2 linked regions of the Callithrix jacchus genome follow. The protein of the gene in region 1 binds, or shares a complex with, the protein of each later gene. Links are inferred from orthologs where the notes say so. Each region holds a gene or a part of one and is shown on either strand. Other genes may lie near its edges.

Evidence for each region.
Region 2: the proteins of RHO (region 1) and SAG are in contact, whole or in part, in a crystal structure (PDB 4PXF), measured with the Bos taurus proteins. The link is inferred for Callithrix jacchus from reciprocal best matches to the Homo sapiens genes RHO and SAG. Residues at the interface, in NP_001014890.1 of Bos taurus: Arg135, Val138, Val139, Lys141, Leu226, Glu249, Val250, Met253, Met309, Asn310, Lys311, Gln312; in XP_010802144.1 of Bos taurus: Asp71, Ile72, Met75, Gly76, Leu77.

What each region holds. Positions count from the first base shown.
Region 1 is NC_133516.1:72,615,962-72,620,059, reverse strand, and holds the end of RHO (rhodopsin), read left to right. Parts: intron 1-603; coding exon 604-769; intron 770-878; coding exon 879-1,118; intron 1,119-1,945; coding exon 1,946-2,056; 3' UTR 2,057-3,596; downstream 3,597-4,098. UniProt on the Homo sapiens protein: Photoreceptor required for image-forming vision at low light intensity. Required for photoreceptor cell viability after birth.
Region 2 is NC_133507.1:154,652,185-154,656,171, forward strand, and holds the start of SAG (S-arrestin), read left to right. Parts: upstream 1-1,184; 5' UTR 1,185-1,315; intron 1,316-3,088; exon of another isoform or gene 3,089-3,294; intron 3,295-3,987. UniProt on the Homo sapiens protein: Binds to photoactivated, phosphorylated RHO and terminates RHO signaling via G-proteins by competing with G-proteins for the same binding site on RHO. May play a role in preventing light-dependent degeneration of retinal photoreceptor cells.

The sequences.
Region 1 (4,098 bases):
AGCCCACCCCCTGGACTTTTTCCCCATCTTCTCCAGTCTGGCCTAGTTCCATCCTCTGGAATCACAGCCATTGGACGCTCTGGGTTTCCTGAGGCCATTTCACTGCCACCAACATCAGGAACCATTGCCACGTCCTAACCATGTGCCCTGGGAGCCTCTTGTTTCCAGAAGCTGCACAGAGATCCCTTAGATACCCTGTGTGTCTGTCTTTGGCCTGGAAAATACTCTCACCCTGGTGCTAGTTTGTACAAACTGCCGCAAATACAGAGCCTGAGGGCTCTCCCCTCGTCCTCACCAACCTCTGCCTGGCATAGCCTGAGGCTCAGCAGGCAGCGGATGCTGAGGCAGGGCACGCAGGGAGAGGCTAGGTCATGTCATCTGGTACCGCAGCCACCAAACAATGAAGCGACACTGATTCCACAAGGTGCATCTGCATCCCCACCGGATGCAGTCCATCCTGTCACCCAGCCACGCAGACCTTTATGATCCCCTTTCCAGGGAGGGAACAGGAAGCCCCAGAGAGGGCCAGTGCTTGGCAGGCACCTTGGCCGGGGCCATTCCCAAGTCCCTCACAGGCAAGGTCTCCCTACCTGCCTGTCTCAGGTACATCCCTGAGGGCCTGCAGTGCTCATGTGGAATCGACTACTACACGCTCAAGCCGGAGGTCAACAACGAGTCCTTTGTCATCTACATGTTCGTGGTCCACTTCACCATCCCCATGATTGTCATCTTCTTCTGCTATGGGCAGCTTGTCTTCACCGTCAAGGAGGTACGGGCTGGGGGTGGGTGGCCTCTGAGCGTCCAGCCCCCAACGCACATCTACAGCTCCTGCTCCTCGGAGGAGCCATGGTCTGGACCCGGGTCCCGTGTCCCTGCAGGCCGCCGCCCAGCAGCAGGAGTCGGCCACCACACAGAAGGCGGAGAAGGAGGTCACCCGGATGGTCATCATCATGGTCATCGCTTTCCTGATCTGCTGGGTGCCCTATGCCAGCGTGGCATTCTACATCTTCACACACCAGGGCTCCAACTTCGGTCCCATCTTCATGACCATCCCAGCGTTCTTCGCCAAGAGCGCCGCCATCTACAACCCTGTCATCTATATCATGATGAACAAGCAGGTGCCTACTGCGGGTGGGAGGGCCCCAGTGCCCCAGGCCACGGGCACTGCCTGCTAAGGATAAGCTATGTGCCAGGGCAGGGGAGGGGGCTCCATCAGGGCTACTGGCAGTGGGGCTCACGGGTCAGCAGTGTCAATGGGGAGCGTGTGAGAAATGCAGGTTCCTGGACCCCACCCAGACCTGCTGAATCTCAGGGTGGGCCCAGGAACCTGCATCACCAGCAAGCCCTCCAGGTGCCTCGGATCCTCACTCAGGTGTCAGAAGCTCCAGTCCAGATGGTTCTGGAAGCCTGATGTCAACGTCAGCAGGTCCCAGGCCGAGAATGGGATGGGCCAGTCTCCATAAAGCTGAATAAGGAGCTAAAAAATCTTATTCTGAAGGGTAAAGGGATAAGGCAGTCCCATAACAAAGAGCAAGTGGTTTCCCCGAGGAACCCAGAAGGGGGGAAACAGTCTCTGAAGTCAGCTCTGCCATTTTCCAGCTTGTGGCGCTGGGCAAGTCAGTTCCCCTCTCTGGGCCTTGGTTTCCTCATCCATAGAAAGGGCAAAACACCAAACTCTCAGATTACAGGAGAGAATTTGCAGCACACCCTTGGCACGCAGAGGGCACCATGAAATGTTGAGGGTGATGCAGTCCCCTATTGCTCGGTCCCTGGCATCTCTACGGGTGGGGAGTGTCTGCTTAGCAAGTTCCCTCCAGGAGGCCGGATTTGAGTGGAACTGTGAGGGGCACAAGCCGGGAAAGGGTTGGGGCAAACCTCACCAACGTGCCAGTTCCAAGCGCACTGTGGGCAGCCCCGGTCCTAACTCAGGCCTCTTGCCTTTCAGTTCCGGAACTGCATGCTCACCACCATCTGCTGCGGCAAGAACCCACTGGGTGACGATGAGGCCTCCGCCACCGTGTCCAAGACGGAGACCAGCCAGGTGGCCCCGGCCTAAGACCTGCCAAGGACTCTGTGGCTGACCGTAGGCGTCTCCCATCCCCCACACTCTCCCCCAGCCACAGCCATCCCACCAGGAGCAGCGACTGTGCAGAATGAACGAAGTCACATAGGCTCCTTAATTTTTTTTTTTTTTTGAGAAATAATTCATGAGAGAAAAATGAGGTTTCTCACTCACCCGGGATGGCCTGAGAAGGGACATCCACGAAAACCTACTGATCTGGAGTCCCAGGTTCCCCAAGGCCAGTGGGATCTGTGCCCCTTCTCCTCCCAACTCATCTTTCAGGAACACGAGGGAAATCTTGCTTTCTGGAAAAATGTCCCAGTTTAGGGCTAAGTGTCTTGCACACAATGGAGCACACATAGGTGCTTAATAAATGCTAGATGGATGCAGGAAGGAATGGAGGAATGAATGAAGGAATGAATGGGAAGGGAGAACGTATCTGTCCTCTCAGACCCTCTTAGCAGCAGCAGCTCACACTTGGCTCATGATTTGGAGCAGTTGTTCTTCCCTCCCTGGGCCTCACTTTCTTCCCCTATGAAATGGAAATCCCACATCTCTGGTCCTGCCGACTTGCAGCTACTGAGAAGACCAAATGAGGGGCGTGTGTGTGTGTGTGTGTGTGTGTGTGTGTGTGTGTGTGTGTGTATGTGCGTGTGCTGCGTGTGCGTGTCCATGTGTGTGTTTAAGCACTTTGTAAATAGCAAGAAGCCGTACAGATGCTAGTTAACGTTGTGAATAACATCAATTAATGTAACTTGTTAATTATTATTAACAGGTAATTATGATCATTACCTCCTGATAGTGAACATTCTGAGATTGGGCATCAGAGGATGGGGTTTCAACCAGCCTTGGGGCGGATTTAAAATGAGTTAGGCCTCGAGGCCAGACCAGGGCTGGAGGTTGAGCTGCAGGCAGGGACAGTCACAGGAATGTAGAATGTAGTCATCAGACCTGAAAAACATTGGGGGAGAGGGGCAGTGAAGGCCAAGGTCCCAATGAGGGTGAGATTGGGCCTGGGGTCTCACCCCTAGGGTAGAACCCCAGACCCCATGCCTCCCCTTCTCAGTGTGGCCTATGGAGAGACAGGCCTTTCTCTCAGCCTCTGGAAGCTACCTGCCCTTTTGCCCCAGCACCTGAGTCCCAGCATCAAGAGCATGGAGTCTTTAGAAGCCATGCTCACCCGTCCACATTTAATGAAGAGCTGAGTCCCTGACGTCATCCTTATCTCGAAGAGCTTAGAAACAAAGAGTGGGATATTCCACCTGGCCCACCTTCCCTGGGGATGTTCATGAGCCCCAGTTTCCAGTTTCCCTTGCCAGACAAGCCCATCTGCAGCAGTTGCTAGTCCATTCTCCATTCTGGAGAGTCTGCTCCAAAAAGCTGGCCACATCTCTGAGGTGTCAGAATTGACCTCCCTCAGTAGCTGCTCCCCCTTCTCCATATAAGCAAAGCCAGAAGCTCTAGCTTTACCCAGCTCTGCCTGGAGATGAAGGCAAATTGGGCCATTAAAGCTCAGCTCCTATGTTGGTATTAATGGTGGTGGTTTTTGTTGCTTTCAAACTCTTTATCCACAGGATAGATTGAAACTGCCAGCTTCCACCTGATCCCTGACCCTGGGATGGCTGGATTGAGCAATGGGCAAAGCCAAGCCGCACAGAGTCCCCAGGAGCTACAGGTAGAGCGAATAGTCCTGGGAATGGGAAAAACCCCAAATTTGGGTTCATAGAAACACAGGTGACCCACAAAACAGCAAACAAGTTTTGTCACCTCTCTGAGCTTCCTTATCTGCAAAAGAGGATGTTAAAACTGACCTTGGCTGGGCACAGTGGCTCATAACTGCAATCCCAGCACTTTGGGGAGGCTGAGGCGGGTGGATCACGAGTTCAGGAGTTCGAGACCAGCCTGACCAACATGATGAAACCCTGTCTCTACTAAAAATACAAAAATTAGCCAAGCATGGTGGCACATGCCTACAATACTAGCTACTCAGGAGGCTGAGGGCAGCAAATCCCTTGAACCCAGGAGGAGGAGGTTGC
Region 2 (3,987 bases), on another chromosome or scaffold:
CAGCCTTCCAGAGTGCTGGGATTACAGGCATGCACCTCTACATCTCACTTATATAATACGGTTTTGTATTTTAACCTTTCTATTATAGGAGCAGCAAATGATTGTAGGAGAAAATGTGAAAAATTACAGACAAGAAAATTTAAGCAAAACCTACCATTTCCACCACGCAGAGACCACCAATGTTAGCTTAAGGTGTATTCTTGCATAGGTATAGCATGCATGCGAACACACATGTATATGTGTAAATGTGCTTGTGTGTATATGCATGTGTGTATGAATGTACATATATGTATGTATACACAAATGCATAGTCTCTGTGTGTTTGCAAAGCGCCATCCTGCAGCCTTGCTGGGTTCAGTCCCAATCTCTTACCTTTCCACTCCAGTCATTTTACCATAGTCAGATATTCCCAATGAACCCAAAATGTCCCACACATCCTTTTTGGCTAGTTGTGTATTCAATCTCGGGCTGCACATGACATCTGGGTGTCAAGTGCCATAGTGTCTTTTAATCTAGTAAACCCCATTTCTATGGCATTGTTTGCTGGATTTCTCCAGCAGCTCTCTTGTGTCATGTAGCTGGTTCCTTGTATTTCTGATAAACTAGAAGTGATGTGTAAAGGCTCGTGGATTCAGGTTAACCCAAGGGGACATATCACGTGTGGCTGAGACCACCGGCAATGCTAAGATTGACCATGGTATCTGCCATGCACCTTGGGAGGACACCGCTATCCACGTGGCATCGCTTCAGTCCTGCAGTCATTTTCCCATCAACTCTTCACCTAATGGCTTTGGCACCAATGAATAGTCATTGTGTTTTAAAATAGGGGTTTTGCAGTTTAGGTATGGTGAGGCCAACAATCGAGTATGCTAAGGATGGGGTGACATTGAGGTAAAGACTCAAAGGAGTGAGCCATGTGGCTGCTGTGGGAAGAGTGTTCCTGGAGAGGAAGCAGCAGGTGGAAAGGCCTAAAGGCAGGTTTGCAGAAAAGCAGGCGAGGGGTGGTGGCTCATGTCTGTAACCCCAACGTTTTAGAAGGTTCAGGTGAGAGGATCAATTGAGGTCAGGAGTTTGAGACCAGCCCCCGTCTCTACAAAAGATTTAAAGAATTAGCCAGGTGTGGTGGCATGTGCCTGTAGTCCTAGCTACTCGAGAGGCTTAGGTGGGAGGAGCGCTGGAGCCCAGGAGTTCAAGGCTGCAGTGAGCTACGATTGCACCACTGCACTTCAGCTGGGGTGACAGAGTGAGACCCTGTCTCCGAAAGAAAAGGAAACAGACTCAGTACTCTGAAGCCAAGTGGGAGAGGGAGAGAGCGGTGAGAAACAAAGCCGGAGGTAACGGGAGGGGGCGCTGGAGCACGCCGGACTTGGCAAGCATTGTCCAGACTTAGCTGGGAAGCCACTGGAGCGTTTGGATGGGTGCCGATGCCCCAAACCTCAGAACGGGCCTTCCGCATATCCTTGTTTCATTCCTAGCTCAAGTCCCCCATGTAAGTGTGTTCTTGGTCACAGAGTGCCCTCCATGCATTCCCTGAGCGTTCTTGGGAGCAGGCATTGTTCCAGGCACTATGAAGACAGAAGTGAGAGAAATGAAATGGCATAGGCCCTGCCCTCCTGGAGCCTAGAATCTGGTGAGGGAGGAGAGACTGTAGAATAATTCTACCAGCCAGGCACAGTAGCTTATGCCTGTAATCCCAGCACTTTGGAGGCCAGGAGTTCGAGACCAACCTGGCCAGCATGATGAAACCCCATCTCTATTAAAAATACAAAAATTAGCTGGGCGTGGTGGTGCACAACTATAATCCCAGCTACTCGGGAGGCTGAGGCAGGAGGATCACTTGAACCCAGGAGGCGGAGGCAGCAGTGAGCCAAGATCACACCACTGCACTCCAGCCCAGGCCACAGAGTGAGACTCTGTCTCAAAAAAAAAAAAAAAAAAGAGTGAAGTGCAGGTGTGCCTCCAATCTGGTCCTGGAGGTTGGGGATGATTCCTGGTCAAAATCTGAAAGGCCAAGAAGGGTCAACAAGGTGAAGAGAGGAGAGGCTTGTTCCAGGCAAAAAGAACAGTGGGAAGGAGCAAGCATGGCAGACGACGTGGAAGGGAAGGCAGGCGGAGGTTCCAGAGGCTGCAGCCTTTCTGCCTGCATTCTAAGAGCAATGGGTGATTTAAGCAGGAGGTGACAGGTCGGGGCTCGGAAGGCCTCTCTGCCTCTGTGTGGAAAAGGGCCTGGAGAGTAGAAACAGATTTAGTTAGCTGGGCGTGATGGCTCATGCCTGTAATCCCAGCACTTTGGGAAGCCAAGGCAGGCAGATCACCTGAGGTCAGTTCAAGACCAGCCTGACCAACATAGTGAAACCCCGTCTCTACTAAAAATACAAAATTAGCAGGCATAGTGGTGTGCACCTGTAATCCCAGTTACTCAGAGGCTGAGGCTGGAGAATCACTTGAACCCCAGAGGCAGAGGTTACAGTGAGCCAAGACCGTGCCACTGCATTCTAACCTGGGAGATAGAGCAAGACTCCATCTCAAAGAAAGAAAGAAAGAAAGAAATATATGTAGTCAGACAGTGGGGAATCACTGCGGTCTGGGGAAGCAAAGCTGGGGATGGAGGACGCAGACAGGTCCCAGAGACACCGAAGAAATCAGCAGGACTCCTGAGCCATCAATCGGCAGGACCGGCTGGAGGAGAGGGACGGTATCCAGCTGGCCTGCATAATACCAGGTTCATCTTGAGGTTGACATTTATCCTTGACCTTTTTGTTTAGTCCCCACCCACAAGGTCGCATTAGCTGCCTGCTGAGTTTAATCAAATCTCTTCCTGTCCTGGCAAAGCCCGGGAATGAAGGGATAATCAGTCTATTTCCAGAATCCAAAGAGGTTTAGAAGAAAAAGTAGCTTTCATTTAGCTGTTGGCCCTCCCACCAACCTTCCCCAAGTGAGCCAGGTGACTCATACATATGTGAGACCCTCTGTCTGGAGACTGGGGCGGAGGGTGTTGCTTAATGCCCAGAACTGCTGAAACTACCAGTTCACTGTCTGAGCACTAATCCTACTCTGCTCCTTAAGTGGGATTTGGCTTTTAGACATTGAGACCTGGATGCTGGGCATCCTCGCTAGATCCCCTACAAATTCCCTGCATACGTAGCCCAGGGCCTCGGCAGTGCCTCTGCGGGCTCATCTGGTGAGACGGTAGCAGCTTGCTCAGAACAGGCACTGGCTGTTCATCATCTCAGGGCATAGAGACCCTCTCCTTGCCACCTGGCTTTTCCCACCCGGTTGGTGACAAATCACAAGGTATGTGACCACCACAGGCCAAAACCTTCTCAGAAACCTGGGGCAGGTGTGGCGGGGGGAGCTAGGATGGGTGTTTTCATGCAGACAGTATGTCCCGGCTTCACTTTTTCTGTGTGGTTTCCGTAAGACTGTAATTAAGGAGACTCAGAGTGAGTCGGGGGCAGTGGCTCATGCCTATAGTCCCAGCGATTCAGGAGGCTGAGGATGGAGGATTGCTTGAGGCCAGGAATTCGAGACCAACTTGAGCAATACAGTCAAACCCAGTCTCTCCCAAAAAAAAAAAAAAAAATTAACTAGGCATGGTGGCACACACCTGTAGTCCTAGCTACTCCGTAGGCTGAGGCAGGAGGATTACTTGAGCCCAGGAGTTTGAGGCTGCAGTGAGCTATGATTGTGGCACTGCCCTCCAGCCCAGGCAACAGAACGAGATCCTGTATCTTAAAAAAAAAAAAAAAGCCTCAGAGTATGTTTAATTCCAGACCACTAAGATGGCCTCTTAATTGTAAAACAGAGTGGTAAAAGGGATAGCAAGAAAAGGCTATCTCTCAGTATGAACTGCTAAATAGAACTTTTGGGATTTTAATATATTCTTTTTTTTTTTTTTTAAGGTAGGATCTTTTTTTAAAAAAAGAGAAAAGGCAGGATCTTGCTGTGTCACCCAGGCCAGTCTCCACCTCCTGGCTTCAAATGATC